Drosophila melanogaster: one gene and its partners. The protein of the gene in region 2 interacts with the protein of the main gene of each other region in a pairwise test. Each region holds a gene or a part of one and is shown on either strand. Other genes may lie near its edges.

Evidence for each region.
Region 1: the proteins of CG43658 (region 2) and CG10814 interact in a two-hybrid assay, tested with the Drosophila melanogaster proteins (one large-scale study listed by BioGRID).
Region 3: the proteins of CG43658 (region 2) and hdly interact in a two-hybrid assay, tested with the Drosophila melanogaster proteins (one large-scale study listed by BioGRID).

Annotation. Positions count from the first base shown.
Region 1 is NT_033778.4:13,373,267-13,381,056, reverse strand, and holds CG10814 (uncharacterized protein), read left to right. Parts: upstream 1-3,325; 5' UTR 3,326-3,368; coding exon 3,369-4,261; intron 4,262-4,560; coding exon 4,561-4,876; 3' UTR 4,877-5,082; downstream 5,083-7,790.
Region 2 is NC_004354.4:17,556,569-17,565,123, forward strand, and holds the start of CG43658 (uncharacterized protein), read right to left. Parts: upstream 4,613-8,555; 5' UTR 4,261-4,612; intron 1-4,260.
Region 3 is NT_033777.3:20,911,053-20,919,503, forward strand, and holds the start of hdly (hadley), read left to right. Parts: upstream 1-3,243; 5' UTR 3,244-3,356; intron 3,357-8,451. Other genes in the region: CG31191 (uncharacterized protein), read right to left, coding at 729-860, 919-1,025, 1,090-1,288, 1,358-1,617.

The DNA.
Region 1 (7,790 bases), on a different chromosome or scaffold from region 2:
GGTTGTTGCTTTGGAATTTAATTAATTTAAATTTATTGAATTAAAAGTTAAATTCGATTTAATAAAGAACGGGGTGAACAGGAAATCATCTGTCGTTATTTAATTTAATTTTCCTGGTAAACCAAACTAAAATATATTTTATTACATAAAACTTCATAGATTAATAAAATATAAATAAAATGAGTTTTTTTTTGGTAAATTTCAAATACTTGTATAATACTTAATGCACTACAAATTCTGAGAATACATTTAGTTAGTAAAACTTCTCTTACTTGTAACTACCATCCACTCACTGTGCCGTGTGTGTATTAAACTAAATTTAGCGTCACTTTGAATTACGGCGCTGGCGGTGACGATGACTTGGTAGCCTTGGCAGCCGGGCCATTACAATGCAGAAGCCGGAATAGTCATGGGCTGGGAGTTTCGTGGGCAGGACGAAAAGAGTCCTGGCACAAGGACATCATGTTTGCAAATTTATGTAGTTGTACAATAAGTTGTGCCAAAGGAAATGCCATAAAAATGGGAAACAGAATTGTGCGGGCACCGAACAAGCCGGACGGACAGACAGACAGACGGACGGATGGATGGCTGGCTTGACAAGCTCGGACGCGTTTAAAGTGCAATTAGCGCACGTAATTGTAATCGGGTTGGCCAGGTGGCACCACCTGCCACAGCCCAACCACTTCCGGAAGGCGGTGACTCCGGCTTGCGGCTCCACCTTGCGTCTGCCAGCCCACGGGGTTGGGCATTTTCATTTTTTGTTGCTATTTCGTTTTGGCTGCCTTTTTTTTAAAGGCAACCAGGGAGCTGTAAATAAATTTGGCACTTAATCATATTTACGGATTTCGTGGGCACATTTATTTATGTGTCCCACAGTGGCCGCAGCTACTTACTGCACTTTGCCAGCAAGCATAGTGATTTTTTCCGAGGGCTAAGGATTTCTTCAGCCGGATGGAAACACAATACGGCCAAGTCCAATTTGGGGCCCATTCTCAAGAGTAGAGTCGGACCTGGGCTTTATGCCTAATTATGCGTTCCGCTGGCATTGTCATGGATAGCCGAAAATCCGAAATCCAAAATCCTCGCCGCCCACGAGGCTAATTAGGCCCATAGCGTTGGCCATTGTGCCAAACCGTTAGACGGGCGTATTGTTAACTCGAATCCACACCACCACGACTCATCATCAGCCACGGGGTTCACTCACCTGTTCACATCCGCTTTTTCTGGCTTTATGAATATTTCAGGCATTTAAGCCTTGGAACTGATTTATTTGCAATTTGATGGCCAGCGAAATAAATAAACCAATTTCGGTTTTCGGCCATGTTTCGCTGGATATGTTGCGGTCGCTGCGGGTTTTGTTTAATTTTCGTAAGTGTTGTACTCGATGTTTATGCATAATTTGCGGTATGTTTTGATCGGTTGCGAAGTAAACCGATAACACGGATTTGCCTGTTTTGAAATGTTATTAAAAAATAACAAATAAAAACAGACTTATTCGGATCGCTGCTTTTCAAAATAAACACTTTGAGTGAATCTACCTTTTTTTTTTCTCCGAGAAATTCATTACTCTGTCTCATCGCTCATTTCATCGATATTTGTCACTATTGTTGTGCCTGATTATTGTTAAGTGCAGGTGGGCTGGCGAAATGGAGCTGCGCGGCGAATGGGGAAAAACTGTCACTTGAATGCATTTTCATTACACCTCATTACATTTCACTTGCATCTGCAATTGTGTCATGTCGCCGGCTTTCGCTGCCGCTGCCTTCGAGCCTATGAATACGGGAATACTCGCAATGAAAACTGCCGAGCGAATGGATTCGTTAGCTGAATGGGCTGTGAGTGTTTTTAATTGAAAACAATAAAGTTCTGCTGGGGGAAACTGGGACTCCTTCCAAACAATGCATGAAATGTAGACGCTGCATCGTGCTGCATACCGCATTTCTAATGCTCTTCAAGTTTCTTAGAATCTGCTGTAGGCCTAGTACTAATATAATAAAGTTATCACAACAAGATATATAATTTTTTACAATACTTTCTTAAAAATATACATTAAAACCAATCCATTGAAACGTTCTACCTTTATTCAAGCTATATCTTCTCATAACTTGTTGGCAATGTATCTGCGATACCTTATATCTTACATTTAAGATACATTTACTCGCTGAGAAGAATCTCAGCTAAAAGCTGAGCATTCGATGGATTGTTCCACTCGCATTCTTTGTTTCGGGGAGAAATGCAAATGGAAGTGGAAATGGTGGAAATGGCGGTTATAGAGCCGCCGTAGATGGATAGATACGAGTCGTATTCGCGCCAGACAATACACTCGAATACAAAATGCGAATGCGAATGCGAATGCGAAAGTGATAATTAAAAATCGCGCCATATATACTGGTTACCAGATATGCTTGTTGCCGGCCGATTCTCTGCTCGTTGTTGTTTTCCCCGGCATGAAATGGTTATTGTTTATGATTTTCCAACGCTGTCGAGCAGGATGTTCGCATTGCAATCACCACTGGTTTGAGTGAAACAATCGATGTGGGTGTGGCATGTGAGCATGTGAATGAAGTGATCAATGCGCCTAACAATGATTGACGCCACTTCCCGCGACCAGGGGCGTCGCCGTGGCATGGGGGGAGGCGCCATGAAAGGGCTGTCGAAGATGGCGCGCTTTTCCACAGCCACGCCCCTTTCCAGCTCGACTGCAGCTGGCAAACAATTATGCAAAATCGCTGGCGTTAGCAGTTTTATGCAGAAATTAATTTTGCATTTTTAATTTTACAGCTCCAGTGGCGGGCGGGGGCTTTAAGCAAGGGGAGCCCAGCTAAAAACAAGAAAAAAAAAAACGCTGCGACAGCAATCTGCACTGCTCACAAAGGATTGATAAGGGTTAGACTTGGATGGTCGAACACTTAAAGAAAAAAAAAGCGAGTTTCTAGATATCTATATTTATGCAATAAGTTACAAATATCAAAGTATTCACATAAATTAGTATGTATTTAGGAAAATATATTCTAAACAGTATGTCTACATACAATATATCTAAAGTATATCATCTAAGGGATAACATATATAATAGTATAATAAATTGGATCAGGTGATAATATGATATTCGAACATATTACGCAAGGCTTCTTGTCATTTCTCAGCTAATTCTTAAATATCAAACAGCAAATATAAGCAAACAGCTTAAAAACTTAGAAAAATATAGTACGTACTTCCTTTTTTTAAGTGTAGCTATGTAAACATCACGCGTTATTTAATCTGGTCCATCAATTTGGCCACGTACCCCTGAGCGTGGGCTTCTTGCTCACCGCCCTAATCAGGCACATCATTCCGCAATCGGAAGACATAGTGGTAGGTTGCTCAAGATGTTCCAAGCGGACCGCCGAGATTTGCCCAGCCAACCGCTTAAGTTGGCTCTGCCAAAGGAGCAGGATCAGTCGCGCCTGGTTCAGGTTCCCGATCCTGATCGTCGGGACATGCAGTTTCCAGACATTTGGCTGCGCGATAATTGCCGCTGCGAGGAGTGCTATCTGCCACAGACACTGAGTAGATTGCCCCAGCTGTGGAACCATCTGGACACCAGTGTGCGGGTCCTGCGGCAGAGCGTGGACGTGGACCAGAGGGTCCTGTGTATAGAGTGGTCCGATGGACATACCTCCCAGTATCCGTTCAGTTGGCTGAGGGAGCGGGACTTCTCATACGCGAATCGCCAGCGTTACCTGCGTGACTTTTACCGCCCGGAGCAGAAGTTGTGGAGCGGTCTGGACTTTGAGAAAATCCGTCAGGTGTTCTACTACCAAGAACTGCTCGATTGCGATTCGGCGTTGCAGCAATGGCTCCAGCATCTGGCAGTTTACGGAGTGGCCATGGTCAAGGAAGCCCCTCTCGATATGGACGTCCTTCGGAGATTGTCCAACCGAGTGGGCTTCATGAGGCGCACCACCTATGGAGAGGAGTTCAGTGTTCGGGCTCAGCCTGGAGGCAGCAACTACGCCTACTTGGCCGCACCACTCCCGCTACACACGGATATGCCCTACTTTGAGTACCTGCCCGGAGTGACCATGTTGCACACCTTGGAGCAGTCCGCGTCGCCCGGGGGTGTCAATCTGCTGGCCGATGCCTTCTATGTGGCGGAGGTGATGAGGGAACGCTATCCGGAGCAGTTCCGGGTTCTTTGCCAGACTCCCGTGGACTGGGCGGACATCGGAAGCGACGGCGATCTGCAGTTTCACAATATCTGGAGGGCACCGGTCATCAAGTGAGTAGATTTAGATTGGGAGTCCAGTAAAGGAGATTTATATTGATGGAGTTCCTTTGATTGCTTAGGGCGACTTAAGAATACATTTAGGTGCAGTCAGACTATAAAAATGCTTATTTTGAGTTCATATTTTTCAAGCAAATTCTGCACTTTTAAAATCTATTTTTCTCGCAACTTGAAATGTTTCAGTTATCTTGAAAAATATTTCAGATATTTTTAGGTGGAGGTAACAATTTGTTGACGAGGGGAAATGCATAGTTGCCCCAGCAGAACTTGGCTAACATTTCGATCTCTTGCAGCTTGGACGCGGAGGGCCGGTGTGTGCGCATCAACCACAGCATTCCGCAGCGCGACAGCCACTTTAGCGTGCCGGTGGAGCAGGTGCGTCCGTGGTACGAGGCGATGGCCACCTTTGTGGGCCTGGCCCACGAGCACTCCTGCAGATTCAAGACCACGCCCGGCGACGTGCTCACGTTCGACAATTTGCGCCTGGTCCACGGACGTACCGGGTACGACGACACGGACCGCAATGTGCGCCACATTCTGGGCGCCTTCGTTGACTGGGACATTGTGTACTCGCGCCTGAGGGTCCTGCGGAATGCCAAAGCCACCTGATGCTCCTTAGATAGCAGGAGCAGCAAGCACATGTTATGTTATGGCTACATTAATTAGCCATCTATCAATGCCAAAATGCTTTGATTGACATCGCAATGTGGTAGCAATAGACAGAGTAGAATCATTAGATTACTTTCGAATTTATTGTGCTCGAGAAATTAAACCATTTATTGACATTTTGAATAAATACTATTTTAATGGTTTCTAATCCTTTGACACGCTTCAATGCTAATTGACATTATTTAATTGGGTTAAACGTGTGATTTAAGGCATTTTGAAGAGGAAGAAGAAGTCACTCGAGAAGTTTACTAATCTGTTAAACGTGAACATCTCTGGCTGATAAGTAATTCTATTAGTTTCGCTACCCTGTAAGAAAGTGACATAGGAATATTAGACTATACGCTGATATTCAAAACTATAAAATGTATTATTCATTCGTAAATATATAGGTAGAATTTTGGAGACTACTATAAGTATTCAATTCAACAAAAATTGGAAAATATTAATTTAATTTAAAATGGTAAGAGTATAAATTGCTTCATGAGCAATATTAGATAACCTAACCTAAATTACAGGGTATGCAGGCAAATCCGTGATTCAACAACTGCTAGCCAAACAGGCCACTGGAAGTGAAAGTCCAGCACACGTCATTGTTTACGCCGGGCAACAAAGTGGCTTATCAGTGGCCAGTTGAGTCAAATTTCAACCAGTATGTCCATATATATGTATATGTACAATAGGTATATATTTCTATTATCAATTTATGGCAATGCCCAGATCAACACCGACTTGGCAGAGCTCTTAGCTCTTGGCATGCGAGTAAATCACACCCACACACCTTCATGATTTTCATTGGACTGGGAAAACTTGGCTGGAATGTCGGGGTGTTTTCCCTTCGCTTTTCTTTTCGGGTGTTTGGGTGCGGTGTCCCGCAGGCAAATCCTTTGGAAATCTTTTTATTTATGTCATTGATGCCACCAGGACCAAGTGAGGTAGCAGAGGAAGCAACCCGGCATCCGACAGCCAGCAGCCGGAATCCGAAATCCGAGTTGGAGCACATGAATTTGTACATGGCATCGGGTAAATCCCTCTAATAATCCACATAATAAGCACTGGAAGTAGCTGTGGCAGCAACAGGCCGAAAGGGTTGTGCCCCGTTTCCCTTGTTTATAAGTTCATAAAAGTCAACGGGCCGGGAACTTCGAATGGGAGACGATTGGGGAGGGGGCAGGCCATAAAAAACGAGCCAAATGCAAGCGGAAAATGCCCAAGAAGAAAGAAAGGCAACCAGTCGCAAATCCAATTTCTTCGGAATGTGTGCGAGTTTTCGGGGTAGTTGAAATTTTACTGCAGTTTCCAGCCAGACCGTGCAGCAGTCATAATGTGTAATTGAAAACCTGCTCTGAATCGCACCCCTGGGTGGTGTACCATATACCTCTTACCGACTTAAAAGGATACCCCTAATTGGCCAAATGGTCAACCAAGACAGGAAGTGTGTGAAATTCTCAGGTATCTTGATGTCATTTAGAAAATAATAACCTAAAATGTACGAACCTTTATAAAGAGGTAAAATAATTATATTACAAATGAAACAAAACTACGGTTATGTTGCTTATGTTAAACGCAAGAAATCAGTCTTGTGATTGAAGACAAGCCTAAAACTTGACGAAATATTAAATTATATACTCCATATTTGAAGTTCAGTGCACTTATTTTACTTTGTAATTGAAAACTTCAATCTCCATAATTCGTTTAGAAAACACACATCCTTGACCCGCGTTGTGTCCTTATCTACATTTTTCCGATCTGCCATGAAAATGAGACCCAATTTGCAACCATATGCATGATCATAATGACCCCCATATTATATGTTTTTTTTTTTTTGGCTAAAGCAACAGCATTTGGGAATATTTCAATGGCAGAGAAAGGGTTTGCCAGCATGACACTCGCACAATCGCCAAACTAATACGCTTACATACGATTTCCACAATTTCCGCCGCGGCTTCTTGGCCGCCATCCTATTCCTATTGGGATTGCGGTCGGGTTTGTGTGCCAAGATTTTGGCCAGGACAATGCCAAGTTTGGGCTGTCACAATGATAAACATGCGGCAATTGACGCAATCATTGTCTGTCCATGAATTGAATTAAATCAACTCAACTCAGCTCGACTCGATTCGACTCGACTCGAGTGGGTGGCCCATCATCGTCGCGCTGACACTTGCAAAATCAGCGAAGGACATCTGTATTTTCTAGCCTGTGATTCTCGAAAATTAATGCCTTCGTTATGCTTGGCGTGCCATCGAAATCAAGCCACAACTATGGGTTACAGCGAGTGATTGTCATTGCGAAAGGAATGGTCTCGTGGTGAACATGGGTTAAGGCTGCCTCCTTGGGTAATGCCCCATAATTCCGATTCCGTTGCAGGACAGCGCATTTTGCTTATTAGAATCCGCTTGTGCTGCTCTCGTCGAGGATGTGAGCTCCTTGATGCCGCTGGAGGGTAATAAATTCCCGTTCGTCCTGGCAGACCCTTCGTCCTGGCAATTTCCAAGTTTATCACCAACGCGCGTCTGCAACTTATGTCGTCTTTTTCCGCTCCCTCGTCCTGCATCCTGTGTCCTTCGTCCTGCTCCTGTTTGTCTGCACGTCTGTTGTGGTTATGTGAAATCACATCGTAAAAATGTCCAGGTCCAAATGCTTCTCCTATGTGTGTATGTAGCTGTGTCTTGTTGTGTGTGGGAGTGTGTTTTTGGCCCAAAGCCCATAAGTCCCGCCTGTCTCACCTGAGTTTTTCGCGGTAGATGTGGGGTGGTTGGGGCGCGCAACCCTTTCGCCATTCAATTTATAGACGCCGACCATATAAATATTTATTTCTATGTGCAGCTGCCAGCTTCTTTGCTACAGCTGCCTGCTG
Region 2 (8,555 bases):
GCGTGGGCGCTGGAGGGGTCACGGGGGTTAGAGTACCCCTGGCAGTGACAGCGATGGCGACAGTTGCACTGCAAACTGAGCTTACGACTGCCGGGCGACTAATTGGTTTACTTATGGCCTTTATTTTTTGCAGTTGCAGTTGTTCGGCCCGAAATGCCAGCAACACTTTTTAAGCCATAATTGCGGGGGTGGGAGGAGGGTGTTGTGGTGGTTTCGGTCTTTGTGCGAGGGTTGGGCGGTCTTGCAGGGGACTCCCCCGCATTTTCAGCGACTCAATTTTTCAGGGGAAGCAAGAGGCAACAAAAAAAAATATTGCGAACCACACACGAGTTAACAATCAATTAGGGTCCGAGTTTCCTGTGCTCGATTTTTTCTCTTTGTTCCCATGTTAACCTGTAAATTGCGCGGAGGCGGGCGCAGTCAAAGGGTTGTAGTATATACGAACATAATAACAATAATAATAACAATAATAATAATAATATTAATAATAATTATAATATGAATCATAATAATAAGTCGACTAATAAGTAAACTTAGGACCACCCTAATTCCTTAGGGTCACCCTAGTAGATCTTTAGATACACCCTAATACTAAATATGCGAATTCAGCATGTACGCCTTTAGGGGTCGCACTCGACTCCCATTGGTTATCGAGTATGAACTTCATACATACATATTGCAGAATTTGCTAGTGTCAGCACTTGGCTGTCACAAGAGATCTGCCTGTAGACCACACTAAGATCAGTTATAAATCAGGAATAGATCTGGAATGTAGACTCGCTTAATAAAAACCAAATAAAGATAAAATGACCAACTGCGTTTTGAGACTTTATTAACTACATCAGAAGTATTGGAATTCTAATTAACTACAGGGTTAAGGGGGCGTGGCAATGTCTGGGCTTATGTTTGCATTCGCCTTTAACCGTTAACCAGTCGCCTTTTGCCTTTGACGAAACTCCTTGCCCGCCAACAACAGCAAGTGATTACTTATTTAAAAACTCCATTAGAACCCGTTCAATATCGAGGGACGTTCGGGGGAGAGGATCTAGTTAAGGCCTAGGGTTAGGAGCTGCAAGGTATCAGCCATAAGTATATTGCCCACAAATAATGTTAGTCTTTACTGCATGTAAAATTCATAATTTCTGAAAATATGTAAAGTCCTCATTTTTGAGAATCTATGAAGCTAATTGAAATATAATTCCAATTACAATTTTGTGACGCACTGTAGCTATTATCGTTCTTATTGCCTTGAGAATTAATAAGTGTATACAAAAAAATAATAATATGCAGAGCAACTGTTATTTTTGCCCAGACAGCATTACATTTTCGCCACTCACTGTCCTTTCCACAGCTAACTCATTTCCCATTTTCCCATTAACTTGGGCAAATACTATGTCATCATCAAACAAGGCAAGAGCGAAGGAGAATCAACTGGGAAGCAGGCAGCTTCAAACTCAATTTGCTTAAATTTTAGCCCATAATGATTTCAGGTCCTGCACATTTTTTCGACTAGTTGCGATTAATTTCACTCTTCAGGAGTTAATTAGATTGTTATAAACTGAGGTACCCAATATTTAGATTTCGTTTTTTTTTTAAGAACTTGTATGTTTTATTATATATTAAGGTAGCAATTTAGCCTTGTACATCCTTCTCTATTTTATTACAACATTTTGTAACAGCAATCACATGCAATTAACTTTACTATTTAACAGATTATTGGAGCACATATAGCAAATTCATATTTTAAAAACATTTTGATGCATTAAAAAGCTTTCATGTACTTTTTATGATGCTTATATAACTTATAAGCTCTACCAAATGAGTCAGATCCATTATAAAAAGGGGTAAAAAGGCGAAGAAAAAAATCAATTAAGCCCTGATATTTGATATTATTTTTCCTCTGCGCTCTGTGGGACTATCTTATAAATCGCCGTTGCCATTCTGATGCGTTCGGCTTTGTATTTTATGCTGCTCCTCGAGTTCAGAATTTTCTATTTGGCGATTTGGATGGATGGTTGAGGTGGGGGAGGGGGGGGGCGCGTTCGGGGGGAAGGCAAACAGCTTTAGACACTTTAACACATTCCTCTGGGAATGAATACTCCGTGGAAGGAGCCACTACACACTCGCACACTCACACAGCCAGACATTTTAGTGGGCCTTCAGCATCGACATCGAAAAGTCTCGGACTTCGACTTGGACGGGGATAAAAAGGTGCACTGATAAAAAAGCATGGGAACTTCATGCCGAGTCTGGTTTTCGAGAAGCACATCCTCATTTTCATTAATTCATTTATCATGACTTTAATAGTTAGGTAATACTGATTAGGAAATCTTTTAGGCTTGCAGTCCACGTTGTGACGAAGCGCACCAAGATAGTTAAATCTACCGTGATGGTCTGATCACATTAAACCAAATGTTTTATATATCTCTTATTTCGTAATTAGTTTTTTCTTGCAGTGCCCGAAGGTAAGAGAAACATTTAGACGACTTTCCAAGACCGGTTCTTTTGGCTCTATGAACTCGCCTTCGTCCGCCTCGTACTAACTAGAACTTGTGGCCAAAATAAAAGGCAAACATAAAGCAGCAGCAGCTAGGCTAACAAAAAAAAAAAAACACAAAAAAAAGGCAAAACAGGGAAATGGTCAGCTAGTTGGCCAGTAGCACTTGGCCAACGGCCCTGTCCTTCTGCACCTTTCCGTTTGGACGGATTTATTTTAGTTAATAAGCGAAATCAGCGGAGGGCTGCTCAAATTGTTTGCATTTTTCGGTTGCTTAAAAGGTCCTTACATTCGTCAAGTAATGTACAAAAAATGTAATGAACTGGTATTCAAAGAACTTTGTTTTTTTTTTTGTAATACTTTTTCCCCTAATTCAATTTAACATTCTTTACTGCGTGTCACACACACATTTTTGACATTTATCGGTTAATATATCTAAGATTATAATATACAACTTTCCTTTCTATTCGTTTATGTTTCTTTGTGAAATGTAACAGGAAGAGTCAACCAAAGGGGCACTTTTTTCTTCATTCAGTTTGATGATTGGCCACACTTCTGAAATTCCTGAATTCATTTTTTAACAGCACCCTGCTGAAACTGCCAAAACATTTCGACAGTCCAGAATTCGTACATTTTTTGTTTCGGTAGCTTGATTTTTAGTTTGTTTACTTTTTGCTACCTTTTTGCGTGGCGGTTGTGTCTTTTGATGATCGATCAGCTTTTGGAAGCAATCAGGGAGCCAGGAAATCAGAGGACTCGTCACTTTCCACCACCATGTTGGCCAACTAATTAGATTCGCTCTGAATTCCCGGCTAATTGAAAGGTGAGCAGCGCGCTTGAACTTTTGGCACTTGCCAACTTTTAAGCTGTGCCAAAATGCTAGAAAAACTTAACGCTTTGAGATGGAAACTTCTAGCAAAGTACAACAAAAAGTAAAAAAAAAAATGGACAAAGTAATAAATTGTACAAACAAATAAACAAACAGTAAATCTTATCTGAAGGTTTATTAACGTATTTCGACAAAAACTAAATTATTTCCATGCTTTAAAAGTTTGGTTTTAAAGCTCTTTATAAAGCAACAACCAAATGCCGGCGATGAAATTTCGATTTCTGTGGCGTATAAAAACTGCAAGTTATTCATCTTAATTAAAAGGGATCCTAATGGCCAAGGACCAAACAAAGGATACAGCTAAGGGCGACGCGACAACATTTCGAGCCAATTGCTTGTGAGACAAAAGAGCCAAGTTATTGTTGTTAATATAAATGTATGTAGTGAGTCTGCTAAAAAGGGGAAACCTGCTCTCACCCAAAAATTGACAACTCTGAAATTTATTTGTATTTTAAGAAAGTGTCTAAAAAGAGATGTTCAGAAAATATAATATGTGAAAACTTTATATCGCGATTTAAGCCCTAAAGTTACAACTTAATATACATAAAATAAATTCACGTAATATTTTTCTTTTTTTTTCGGTCAAGTATATGATTTTCGATTTTTTGAAATTTCATGCCAATTATTGTTTAAAAAACACAGACAACGCTTCCAGTTCTAAGGAAAAAAATATTCAATTTTGGTGCACTACAAATACTTTTTCTGCCACTTTTATAACCCTTATTTAACTAATTTGCGAAATACTTTTCCATTCAAGTGCTAATGTTTTGGCGGCTTTTTCGTTTTGCGGTTTTCGCAGGTGGCGGCAGCTGCCACGTGACCGCAAATGTCCTGCGGCAAACGCATCCTTAGCTACTTAAAAAGCTGCACTTACGTTTTCAGCAACGATCGGTTGACAACGGCGCCGCAAATTCAATGAACTCGAAACTAGTTTGGCACATAAACAAAAATCGCAAAAAAAAAGAAGTGTAACGAAATTAAAGGAAAACCGCACACACACGCACACACAAAATGAAAATATAATATTTCACACTACTTCATTTTTTTCGTGGCTCTTTCTAAAAACTGGTAAGAATTGCTGGCCACCAGGTTGTGGTTACTGTTGTTTCTGATCGCGACTTAAAAACGACGCTCTTCGCAGGATTAGCGCTCTCTTCGAAGAGAGCCCCAGCAGAAGTTTAAGGAGAGGAGACGTCCTCGCGCGAGCAGCACCAAAATCCAACTGCGGCCGAATCCCACGGACGCAGCGACGTCCCCACGTCGACGACGCCGGCAGTGCCGCAAATGCAGTTTGCTCGCCACAGGCACGGAAAAAGAATTAATGCCCAAATGGCTTAGAGCTTGTTTTAAGTTAATGATTGAATGGAAGCGACGTTTATTGTGAACTTAGTATTGCTAAAAAGTAAGTGTAAGTAAGTAAGTAATTTAATTTAACAATGCACATCACAAACCATAAAATTGGTTTCAATCTTTGAAATAGCTTAAACATTATTTTATCAAAAAAACATAATTAGTATACATATTTTTTTAAGAACTTTGGTATTTTGAAAACATTTAATAGCTGCGCAGTTGTAGCTGCTATTGCTTTGACTGCTGCTGTGGACCTGAGCTAGTGTGCGAATGGAGTGCAGAAGGAAAGGAACAAGAACTGCCAGATGAAACAAAAACAAAAAACAGCTAAAGCAGCAACAACAACATGCTGATGCAGTGGAGCTGTAGTTGTATTTGTAGTAGGAGTTGGAGCTGGAATTGGAGTTTGGAGTTCCAATCAGACGAAAAGCAACTAGCGACGCGCGCGCTCTTTTCCGCTCTCTCACACACTCTCTCGTTTTCGGCACACTACTCTCGCTCTCCTTTTGCATTACGTATACGCCAAACAACGCAAAACTTAAACCGGCATTTTGTTAGGCGCACGTTTTGAGCCTCTACGAAGAGTGGGATCGAAGAAGGGAAGCGAGGGAGAGAGCAGAAAATGCTTCAGAACAGGTGCGGATCACTTTCAAAACGGTGCAGGGTATAGTTTATATTGTAGTTTACCTAATGCCCGAAAAAGTAGGCAATGTTTTATGGGAATACGGTTACCTGATTAATTTTGTTAGTTCATCAATCTAAGCCGATCTATTAGTTTTGTTACAAAAAAAATTAAGTCTGCTTGGTTCATAACTGCGATGATACGGAAAAAAAGTTTATACTTTTCTGTTTTCTCGAAATGATGGTCTAACTAATACTGAGTTAGAAAATCTTCGTTGGTTGTCATATATGCAGCCAACCAACTGAATCCGCTCCTGGCAACTTAGCATTTTCGCGCGTGCAGCAGGCAGTGCAACAACAGCAACCCCAGCGCCGGAGAAGAGTGCATCGGTTAGTGTGTGCGTGTAGGTGTGTGTGTGAGCTGCAGCTGGCAGCGAGCTTCCTACTTTATTACTGGTTTCCAACTTAATAAAATATGTGGAGCGCTTGATTTACTCTCAACAAGGATACGCAAGGGTTAAGAAAAGCAATGGCAGGCAGAAGAGGGTTAAAAAGAGATAAGCCAAAGAGAGCGACTTTCTTCGCCAGCTGTTTCGCCGAGCTTCTCCCGTTGCCTTTTGTTTTTGCCGCGCATTCGCCGGCTGGGATCTCTCTTTCCCTTTCTCACACTCTCTTCTGTTTCGGTGCCCCTCTCCCACCGTCTGGCCTCTCACTCATACGCCAGCTGTTGCTCCTTTAAGCGCCAGCGTACCGGAATGCACTTAAAAAAAGTGTGGCCTTGAACGTCTAAAAGCATTACAAATTTACTCATATATAACTTAAATGAATAATTAATATATAAAAATAAAGAACGTATAAGAATAATTAAAAATGGTTCTGCGAAATGAAATGTATTAATTTCAGTTTACATTTTCTTGCGCGAAATAGCACATATGCAAAATTCTTGTAGTGTAGCAACGGATTGCTGTACGTTCTGCTGTGTCTTGTAGTTTATTGCAATTTCTTATTAATAAGCGCCTTTTATGTGGAGCCGGGCGTTAGTGCCCTCCCATGGGCGACATTAACGTTAATAATAATAAAATGTGTAATTGCATACTGGGAAGAAGCAGAGCTGGCCAAGAACAAGAAGATGAAGGAGAGGGAGAAGAACATCAGCTTCTTCTTCCAACCAGTTTCGCAGACGTTGTAAGGCCCATCTTTTATCCTGAATTCTCTTTTTTTGCAGCCAGAGGTGTAAATCATTTTCTAATCGCAGCCAGCAGATCACATGCACACGCATCAACAAGCCAACACACATATAGAGGTACTCTGGACACACAGATACTTTGGACACACAGATACTCACACACACAGAAAGTGCAGTTGGACACTCGGAGTGGACTTGACTTTTGTTTTTGGCACTGCATTTACTTTATGTTTACGTTGTCCAGCTAAAACTTTCCAGCATTTTGATTTCAGCCAAAAGGACAATATTGTTGTCGTCGAGTGGGTGGAAAAGTGGGGTGGCGAAGGGATTTAAGGGGATAGAGGCGCCTGAACTGCAGCCAAAAGTCGAATGCAATCAAAGACGCAGCGGAAACAGAAGCACTTGCCAGGATGTCGGCGTAACCAGTGATGCAAAAGTGGCTTAAACCGATCTGAAAATAAATCAATTACAAAAAAAGACTACTGAAAATTACATGAAAATTTATATAAGTCATAAAACTAAAACGAAAAAGCTAGATAGATCATTAAAGCTATAAACTGAAAAACAAAATACAGCAAGACCCTTTAGATACACCTACTTTTGAATCATTTGAGATAACCTCTCCGTTTTCCTCTTTTTAAATAAAATAGTTCTTGTATTTCCCATGGAAAACCATAAAGTTATCGGCTACATTTGTGTGCAATGCGCCTGCAGGACAAAGTTCAATAAATTTATCAAATGATTCGTGATTCTGGCATTTTCCAATCGAAGTGGCTCGTGAAATTCGGAGAAAATCCGGTCTGATATGTCTTCGTTTGGCTGGGAAAACTTTCGCGTCTGGCAAAACTTTGCTCGTCCTTCTCGTGGCATTTTGTGTCTTAATTTCTGCATTATCCTGGCCATCTTAATTAAGCTGCCTGTCAGAAGGCGCCACGCCCACCGCCGTCTGCTCATTTGTTTGCCGCCATGTTTCGCGGGGTGTTTGGCATTTTCTTTTTCTTCGTATATATATTTTTTTGTTTTTAAGCTGGTCCTGGTACACACTGTACAGAACTTCCGGTTCCGGTGCCTGTGGCACATTGCGTATCCGCGGGCCACATTTCAACCATTGCCATTGTCCTCGTGAGTTTATTTGAATTTATTATACTTCCCCTGCTAGCTCCGTTTTTTATTTAATTTTTGAGCAGATGCAGCCAAGCGTAATAATGGTTGTTATTAACCCGGTGGTGTTGTGGAATATAATTGTACGTAGTAAAAAAGAAAATTTACGAATTGTAAAGTTAATTAAATATCAAGCATACGTAAAGAAAACTTCTGCTTAATGATCACGATCATACATTTTAATGATTTTAATGATTAGGTACATTTTCAAAAGTCGTTACTTATATTACGTATACGTCCTGTGTATCTTCAGCTTAATTTTTAGTGCCAAGGCCTAAAAGGTTTTCCTGCTGAAACTTAAGTGAATCGCCGTTGATAAAACTGCCCACACCTTTCTCGTAATTGTTTAATTCGTTTTTTATTTTTACAAACTGGCAATGGCCATCAACTGAATCAAAGCCATTTCATTAGTTTTAGCACTTTTATGGGCCATTTTAGAAATGCAAATCGAAAATCAAGTGCACAAGAGCTCACAAACGGAATGCGGAAGAGAGTTTGTGAGTGTTTGTTTGTTTGTTTTCTCCCCTTTTTGCACCATTTTCGGAAACGGAAAAGTGGGAGGGAGAGCAAAAGATTTGGAAATTTGTTTTCCCTTTTTTTTGGGAGCATGCAAACAGCGCTTTCAACTCCCTTATTCCAATTAACTTTGCTAAATTTATTTATGCATGCCATTGCACTGGCATAAACATTATAGAACAATATATATTTAATAAATATAAACTTATCATTAAACTGAATTTTTGTGGTTACATTTTCTAAAAGATTATTAAGATCATTAAATTGTTAAAACAAAAAAAAAACTTTAAAATTCTGCAGATAAAATGTGTTGATTCTATTTCAAAATCTGCATT
Region 3 (8,451 bases), on a different chromosome or scaffold from region 2:
CGGTTATCAATTTGTCATTAGTCATCTGCTTTGGAGTATCTTTGGTTACTTCACATATATATGTATGTATGTATATTTCATGTTCCTTGCTCTATATTTATGTGTATAATACTAGGCTCAGTTTGTTGTTGTAAGTGGTACATACAAATTACACAGAGTTTGGTTTGATTCTCAATTTGATTTCCGTTCATCATCTTTGAGCGCATCGTTCACTATTTTATCAGTAAATATCTTGTGTTTTGCATTTTGTATTTTTGTAGGTATAACACTGTATTCATCTCAAAAGTTCATTAAAATAAATGCCTTTTAGTTTGTTTGCTGGCACTTCAGTGCCGAAGTGTTTGTATCTGATAATGTAGTGTAAATAGTTCCTTGTTTAGTTGGTGGTGGGTGGTGGGGTCTGGGCTCAGTTAGTAGTTGGTTAGTTAGTTGATTAGTTTGTCTTGGCTTGCCTTTGAGTGTTGGCTAAAAGAAGGGCCGAAAGAGGTTTGAGGAACCCGCTCCACTGGCGGAGGAGTTTTGAAGAAGCTATTCGGAAAGCTCTAAATCATTTCGGAATCTCTTGAAAATTCGCATGCGAAAACAGCACATATGCATACACATTTCGCAGGACTCTAATCCTGGGTCCTGCGACCGTGTATGCTGCTGCTTGTATTGGTATTGCTATTAGTTTTTGGGCCCTCTCAAATGACACTCATGCGACGCCTGCCATTTCCAGTGCCCTCGGCTCAGTTGGCGTTGGCCAGTGTCTCATGGCACACCTCCATGTAGTCCGGATCGTGCATGATGCCCTTTATCATGTCCTTCAGCATTGTGTAGCGTGGAAATATCGGATACATCTTTGAGCTGCCGTACTCTTCCTGCGTGTTCAAATACGGATTAGAATAAAATGTGAACTTTCCACCGGATGCCACTCACCTTCAACACACGGATGAGGTGTCGCAGTCCCAGATACTTTTTCAGCAAGCGATACAAGTCGTTTATTAGCTGCGTATTCTCGTGTTCGATTTGCGCAGTTGTCATATCTACGAGTACATTTATCTTAAATAGTTTTCTCTTTTCATTGGACAGGAGGCTGACTTCACTTACGTTCCAATCGCTCCATCCGCTCCCGCCGCTCTGCCGCCTCCTCTGCCAGGCGGGCGGAGGTCTTGACTCCCTCGCCGGACTTCTGGGTCTTCTCCATGATCGAGCAGGCCCGCATCACGTAAGAGGGCACCGTCTCCTGCTTCTCCTGCCGCGGGATGTCCACCAGTGTCCAGTACTGGGTCTCCAGGCGGATGACTTCCTGTGGTTGGTATTATATATATAGCATTAGCTTCTTAAACGGAGGGTTAATGACACCCTTTTTACTGACCTTAATCATCAGCTTGAGCATGGGATAGCGCTGAAAGATGTTGCGCTGGCTCTTCGAGTCGCCGTACTTGTTCATGAGGTTGATCAGGGCTTTCTTGGCGGTCTCGTAGGACTCCTCCAGGCGAAGGCGCAAGGATCGCAGGCGCTCGTTCGTCTCGATCACCTCGTCCCGCGTCATTCCACTGGGCGCCCCCTCGTCCTTCACATCCTGCACGATTCGGCGCACACTCTGCGTGAACTTGCCCACGAAGTTTGTGGTTGCTGAATGGCGAAAAAAATTGTATAAATTAAGTGATAAAACAAAATACGTAAATATATAGTAGTTAATTGTACGGAAATTGCACGAAACACTGTCATTCATAATCGGAATTTCAGTAGACACGCGCATTAACCCTTAATTAATCTGCGATTCATGCGGAAATTGTTCGGCTATGGAAAAGTCAAACTATTATGCCATGATGAAATCGCATCGTACGCGCCACATTTGATTAAAAATAGATTTTTGTCACTAATTTAATTTTTTCCTTGGGCTTCTGGCTTCGGCGAGAATCGAACCCACGTCGCAAAACTTTTTGGTGGTGCATACAGCAGATCGCGCTAACCGGAGCACCACGTCCACTATCATAAGGCATCTGTTTTATGATCGATTTGTTTGCGTCGCTCTTTAGAGGCCTTGAACTCATGTAATTTTTACAATTTACATTTGGGGGATATTTGAAAATATGTTTACCAAATAGAACTGGATGTTTCGTTAGTTTCTTTCAAGGCAAGGTAAAAAATTGTATAAGGACTATTTTGGAAATCGTCTTAATTTCAATTACTTTTCTTATTATTATTATTTCAAAAATGATTTATTTACTTTAACTGCAAAATTTTGTATATAAAATTGTTTCCTTATTAAATATAATATGATTTATAAAACGTAAACGTACGTATTTGAACCAATAATTAAAATAATAATTTTTTAACGAAAGAATTTATATAAATAGTATTTTATTAAACCACGTGGAGCTTGTGTATGACAGAACTAATTCAAGTCTCGATTATTTTAAAATTAAAACTTATGATTATGTAGTAACGAAAAGTAGTAAGAATCCATAGCGTTTAATGAACATTTTCAAGTAACGACAAAATTCAAAAAATTGTTGACTTCCAATGGCGTCATAAAACCTCTTGCAAAATTTTAATTTAAAAGAAACATTAAAGTGTGTTCATTTGCATTTCGGTTTTTATTGGTCGATGGGTCTACATTTTCACGACGTCCATTATGGCAACGAATGGGAAAACTCCAGCCTCAATTGAGAGCCGTTTAATGAGCATTTCGTCGAGATGGCGAAAAGTGCAATTAGCATTCGTCATTGTCAGTCTGTTTCTGCGTCCGTAAAGTCATGCAAAACGTGACATATCTCAGTACAGAAGGGGCTCGTTGATGGCTGATTCTGGTGGTGACTTGAAACGCGGCGAATTAGTCGGCGTTACATCTATATGGATTTGGATGCACATTCTAATTGGAAACCCGGCCATCTGTGGATTCAGACAGAGGCGTGCCCTTATGCGGAAAGTGCACTGTCAGTTTCCAGCTGTGAATCATAATTCCGGCACAAGGAACCCGCATTGTGGGTGTTTGGAAAACTCTAATTGTCTCTGAAATTACTACGGTCAAGGACTTTGGCCGCTGACGCCGATCGTGACGTATCCACATGCAAAGACTTTGAGCAGTTCGGTAGTAATCACAATAACTGGTATGAGTCTGGTGCTGGCATTACAATGGATGTATTGTTGTCTTAAGAGAGTGGCAAAGAGTACACAGCTCGTTCGCTCTTATTTGCTTATTTAATTTTTGCTCGGCTCGAAGTTTATACATATAGTCGAATGCCAAGAGGAATATCATCAGTGCAAAGTCGAAAATCTGGCGGTAAACACTGCTGTATCGCGATCCGCGAGAAAAACATAAAAAACAAAAGCAAAACAAAAAACGAAAAAAGAAAAAACAAACAAAAGTGAGCACAATATATGATAAAATCAAAGAAAGGCAAAATAACAAACGAAATATATACATATAACGCATACACTGGTATATGTAGATATATAAGTACATACATCGCGCCGAAATAACTTTAGAATAAACAGAACGCCAATTGAACTGAAAATACATGTGTCAAATGATGAAATTAAGAGAAACATAGAAAGGCTCTCTAAGAACTGTTGTTCATCCAGTGCGAAGTTTTGAAGTTAAATTATTGTATCTCGAGATCGCAGCATATCTGTTTGTTCCATCTGCGCTCGATCGCAACTACATATCCATATCTGTGAGGCATGAGCTTTGCGAGCGTTTCGCCTCATGATTGGCGTATCGGTAGCGGCTTGGCAAACTCGGCCAATGTTTATCGACTCGCTCTCGACCAGTTGGCCTTTTGTGCTTTTTGCCAGTGCAGCAATTTCTGAAAAAATCGCATTTAATTCGTGTTTGTGTTATTTATCCCTCTCCCTCTCAGTACTTCGATATTGCCCTCGGTTTTTGCCGGATTGCTAAATATTCAAATTTTTATAGAATTTTTTTTTTTTCAAGATAACATTAATGGTGTTTCTTATTACCTCATATTTCGAATGCGTGCTTGCTTTAGTAAAGTAAAAATTTTTATTTCTTTATAACGCCACTTTAAAAAATAGAGATTATTTCTATTCGCCTATGGTAAAACACTCTCATGATAACATTTTTAATTCGTTGTTGAGCAATTGATGCGAAATTTATGAAAGAATGTTGCACATTCCCTCGAAAGTCATATTAATTTTTATAATAAGAATAATACTTGGTAGTTTTGTTATATTCAAAATTTTTTAATAATGAATATATACACATTTCAAATAAATTTCATTGAAGATTTTTTTATTTACGCACCTATATTTTAATGTCATTAGCAAATGGCTTATACTTGATTATATGTTAGGTAACAACAAATCAATAATCGAAGTACTGGCGCTGCGAGCTAATATGGTAATATGAAAAGCCTTTAACAATTATAGAGAAATGCCCATTGTCATTGATCAGAACAGCCGTTTAGGTGGGAAAACACATCTTTTAGCCAGTTAAACTCGTTTCTCTGACTGTGGGGATGCAAACTGGATCTGTAACAGATCTTTGCCCATATCTCGAGGCTGAGGACCCTTCACAAGTAAGCCGCTTGCTCTGTTTCACTGGCTGGTCGACTGAACTGACGACAGTTCATAGCTGATGATGTACTACATCAGTATCACTTATTCGGTAGATAAATTGGGGCGGTGGGCTGGTGGGTTGGGCGGTCGGATGGCGGCGGGACTAGAAACTCTTTCGACCTTCCCACCCAACCCACTGATATCAGCGAAAACGACAACCCACAGTTTGTTTGACTGCCGAGCGGAGGAGAGACGGCTAATGAGCAAAACGGCTTTTGTTTGTCTTTTTGGCCCCAAAGTTTCCCATCGCTGCTCTTCCTCGCGCTTCCAGCTAAGCAGAGTACCTGCGTAAACCAGTTTTTGCTAATTTGACAAAACACAAAGCAAACAAAATGAAATATATAAAAAAAGCCGACATATGTAAGCTTTTCGGTGCGGGGGTCTGGGCACAAATATGCTGTTTGTCTTTGGGCTTTTGCTGCTTTTTTGAGAACGAGTCTGAGACTAAGAGCACATAATTTCACCAACAGCAAACGAAACGTGTCGTCGTGCCGCTCATTGTCTTCATTGGAGCTGAAAGTATCTGTAAGATACATTTCGCTTCGCACATAATTAAAGCTCTGCACGTGTCTACACAAATGTGTGGGTGCCTACACTTGTGTGTGTGCCCTTTTGGTCCACAAATGATTCAAGTTCAGACGTCTTTAAGAAGGGGAACCCTGTCTTTAGTTTACGCTTCATTTTTATTTGAGCCGTATTTAATTGTTGACTTTACTCCTCTTTATTCTTTTTCTGTTGAAATATTCCCCCTTAGCAGCTTGCTGACGTCGTCTTAGCCTTATCAGTCGTAGACTTTGGGATTTCCAAAATACCTGGGCTTCCACTGATATTACTCATTGCTCAAACACGGGTCATGAATCTTGAGTCTTTAAAACTTGCCCATGGCTCATCGTGGTCACTTTCCAGAACGCAAGTGTTATTTATAAAGAAAATAATTACCCATTAAGGCATACTATGATATATATAAAAGCAGCGGCAACCGTTTAATTGCATGTTGCACGAGCTAACAAATTGCTCGGCCAGTCTAACTTGGCTTGTATTAAATTTTCTTTAAGCCCAAAGCCACAGGCACGCGTCGAGAATTGAGGTTGGGTGATCACATACTATATTTCCCACGACCCTTGTGGCTTGTCACTCCTCTTACTCACTTACAACTGCGGTGAGTGAAATCATATTTTACTGAGATACGGAAGCCGGGAAATTCCTCGTTTTATGCACTGCAAACTCGTTAGAAGTTCTATTTGCATACAGTAAATAGTAAGAACTACGGTTTATGCCATGCAGCAGTTTACTGAAACTCTGACGTAATCGAATTCAAAACCAGTCCTACTATTTGCATACTCCATTTAATAGCTGTTCTTTGTGTGTGTGTTTTTTTTTTTTTTTTTGGCACTAAACATCACTCTAGCTGTCAACGGCCTTCAGTTTTCATTCGAATACCAGGAAATTTCGAGCACCTAAGAAGTCGTCAATTAAAACTCGAGTTTCCATCGTGTCTAAGTGTAATTTGATCGAAGAAATTCAGCAAATTCGTATAATTAAAACGACAAATTAATGGTTTTAGATTGATTAGGTGTTGAGTTAAAGCTCTAGTGATGAAAATGAGTAACTTAGCTAACGAACTGCGATTTCCAAATAAGCAAACAAATCCATTTTTTTTTTTAATATTTTATGATTCCTAGTTATATTTTTTCCAACCACATACACATTTGTTGTTCAATTAAACTTTATTTTTTAAAGAAGCTGCCTTCTAATTGTATAATTATAATATCATTGTCAAGCCGTGAAACCACAAATGAGTTCATAAAAACAAGTATAATTAGACAAAATAGCGTGTGCCATTTAGATCTAAGTAGCGATTTTAATATCCGCTGACTAATGAGCAGCAATTGTTAGATACACAGCCACTGAAATTATGAATGGGTTCAAAGTTTTGGAGCTCAGGAAAAGATCACTGAGTATTTGGTCATGCTCAGTGGCTTAGATGGTTTTATGTCACGAGGATGAGATCATATGTACGTATATAAAACCCATGAACAATGGCTCTGGCTGACTCTCTCCCAATCATTCTTGCCACCCGAGCTCATCGCAATTACCATAAGCCATTGTCTGCAGCGGGAATCCTGATGGCTAATCACACTAAATTAAGTTGAAATGCGAATGATTCATTTGCGAACTCACATGTATTTACCGATTTTTGGACACGCTTCACATTTTACCTGCCGAAATTTCGCATTGTTTGTCACACTCGATTACCGCTGACCTTCCGGCGACGGACGTGAATTTGTATGCAAAGGGCGTGGCTCGACCCCGCCCATCAATAACACAAACTAAACGTCTCGACCTCGCTAATCCCGGTAGCACGTGCTGTATTACCAGCACTCCCCGAAACCCGTAACCCGAAATACGAAATGCGAAACCCAAGCCCAATCGCAATCCCCATCCCTGGAACCATCGAGTTTGCTCAGCGTGTTTTAATTAGTTCGGGATGGCAAGGACTAGCTTCGCATCGCAAAACGCTTTCGGTTTGACTAATTGACCGAATTTGGGGCGCTTGTTGGGGGCACACCCCTGCCAACTGGCCCATCAATCATCGAAAAGTCGAACATTTCGACACGCCTCTGATTTATTGAAATTGTGCAAGGTGCCCCTGCATTTCGAACGTAGTCAAATTGTAAGCTGCAAACTGCATTTCCATGAATGTGTCATATGGATGCCTAATCCTTGGGATTAGTCACCATTATTGTGGTTGACAAATGCCAACTCAAATGGAGCACAGTATCATTGTTTATTGATGGCAGAGATCTGATGAATGGGAAATTAGAAATGCTAAAGCTGTGTAAATGTTTTCCAACAAAGTAAACCGCATGAGGCAATACGAGATGAGCAATGCTCTTGCTCGGCAGGTAAATAGGTTGGCCCCACCTGTAAATAATCCACATGAAAACCTCAAGTTAAGTAGATTTTGGGCCACCATTTTTGTTTCGGCCAAGTGACCGGATTGGACCGCATCTTGGCAAAAGTTTGTGGTCATTGGACTTTCGGTTTATGGGTCTCAGACAGGAATCCACAGATACTCGCTGAGTTCTGTGGGCCACATAAATGGCTCAATCAATAAGCAGCTACAATTTTCGGTCAAGTTGGGATCTTAGATTTGACCATAAATTCCGGGGCCCAAATGACAGCTAAAGTTTCGGCTCAAAACGCCAATTTGCTCGCTGTTAAATTGAATTGAAGCGTCGAATTCAATTATTATTTGAAAATTTCCAGGTTTAATGGTGGCGGAAGCTGGTTCCTATTTTATGGATATATTTAATATGCACTACGGCGCATTGCTATAAGGCCACTTAAAATTTAATGTATGAATCTTAGGGGCCGTAATGGCTCGGAAGGGGGGAATGGGGATGTTTGCCTGAGCATGGCATTTTCATTAAAACTTTAAGTCACTTTTGGTGCCGTTATTTGATGCTACTATTTTGCATTATTCAAGAAACTGCCGCCCTCGCCGCAGTTGAGCAAACACAAGCTACTCAAAGAGACCCACACACACGCTCATGTGAGGAGGTTGCAAATCCTTCGGATTCGTCCTTGTCCTTGGCAGTATGTATAGTAGGCCCGACAGGGAACACAAATAGACGTGTGCCCAAATACACAAACAAATGCGTAGCAAACGAAGCGAAGTTCTCGCAAGGCGCACATGGGTCCCGAAAATCGGAGACAGGAAGATGAAATCAGAATGGGACGGGATGGGATCCCTTCTACTCGGGCCGTTGAGCCACCGTTTGAACTTTGGCATTCAGAGCTGCGAGGCAAAATGAGCTCGGATAACGAGGAGCGGGCTACACAAATATATTGAGGGTCATATCCATACGAGGAGTGACA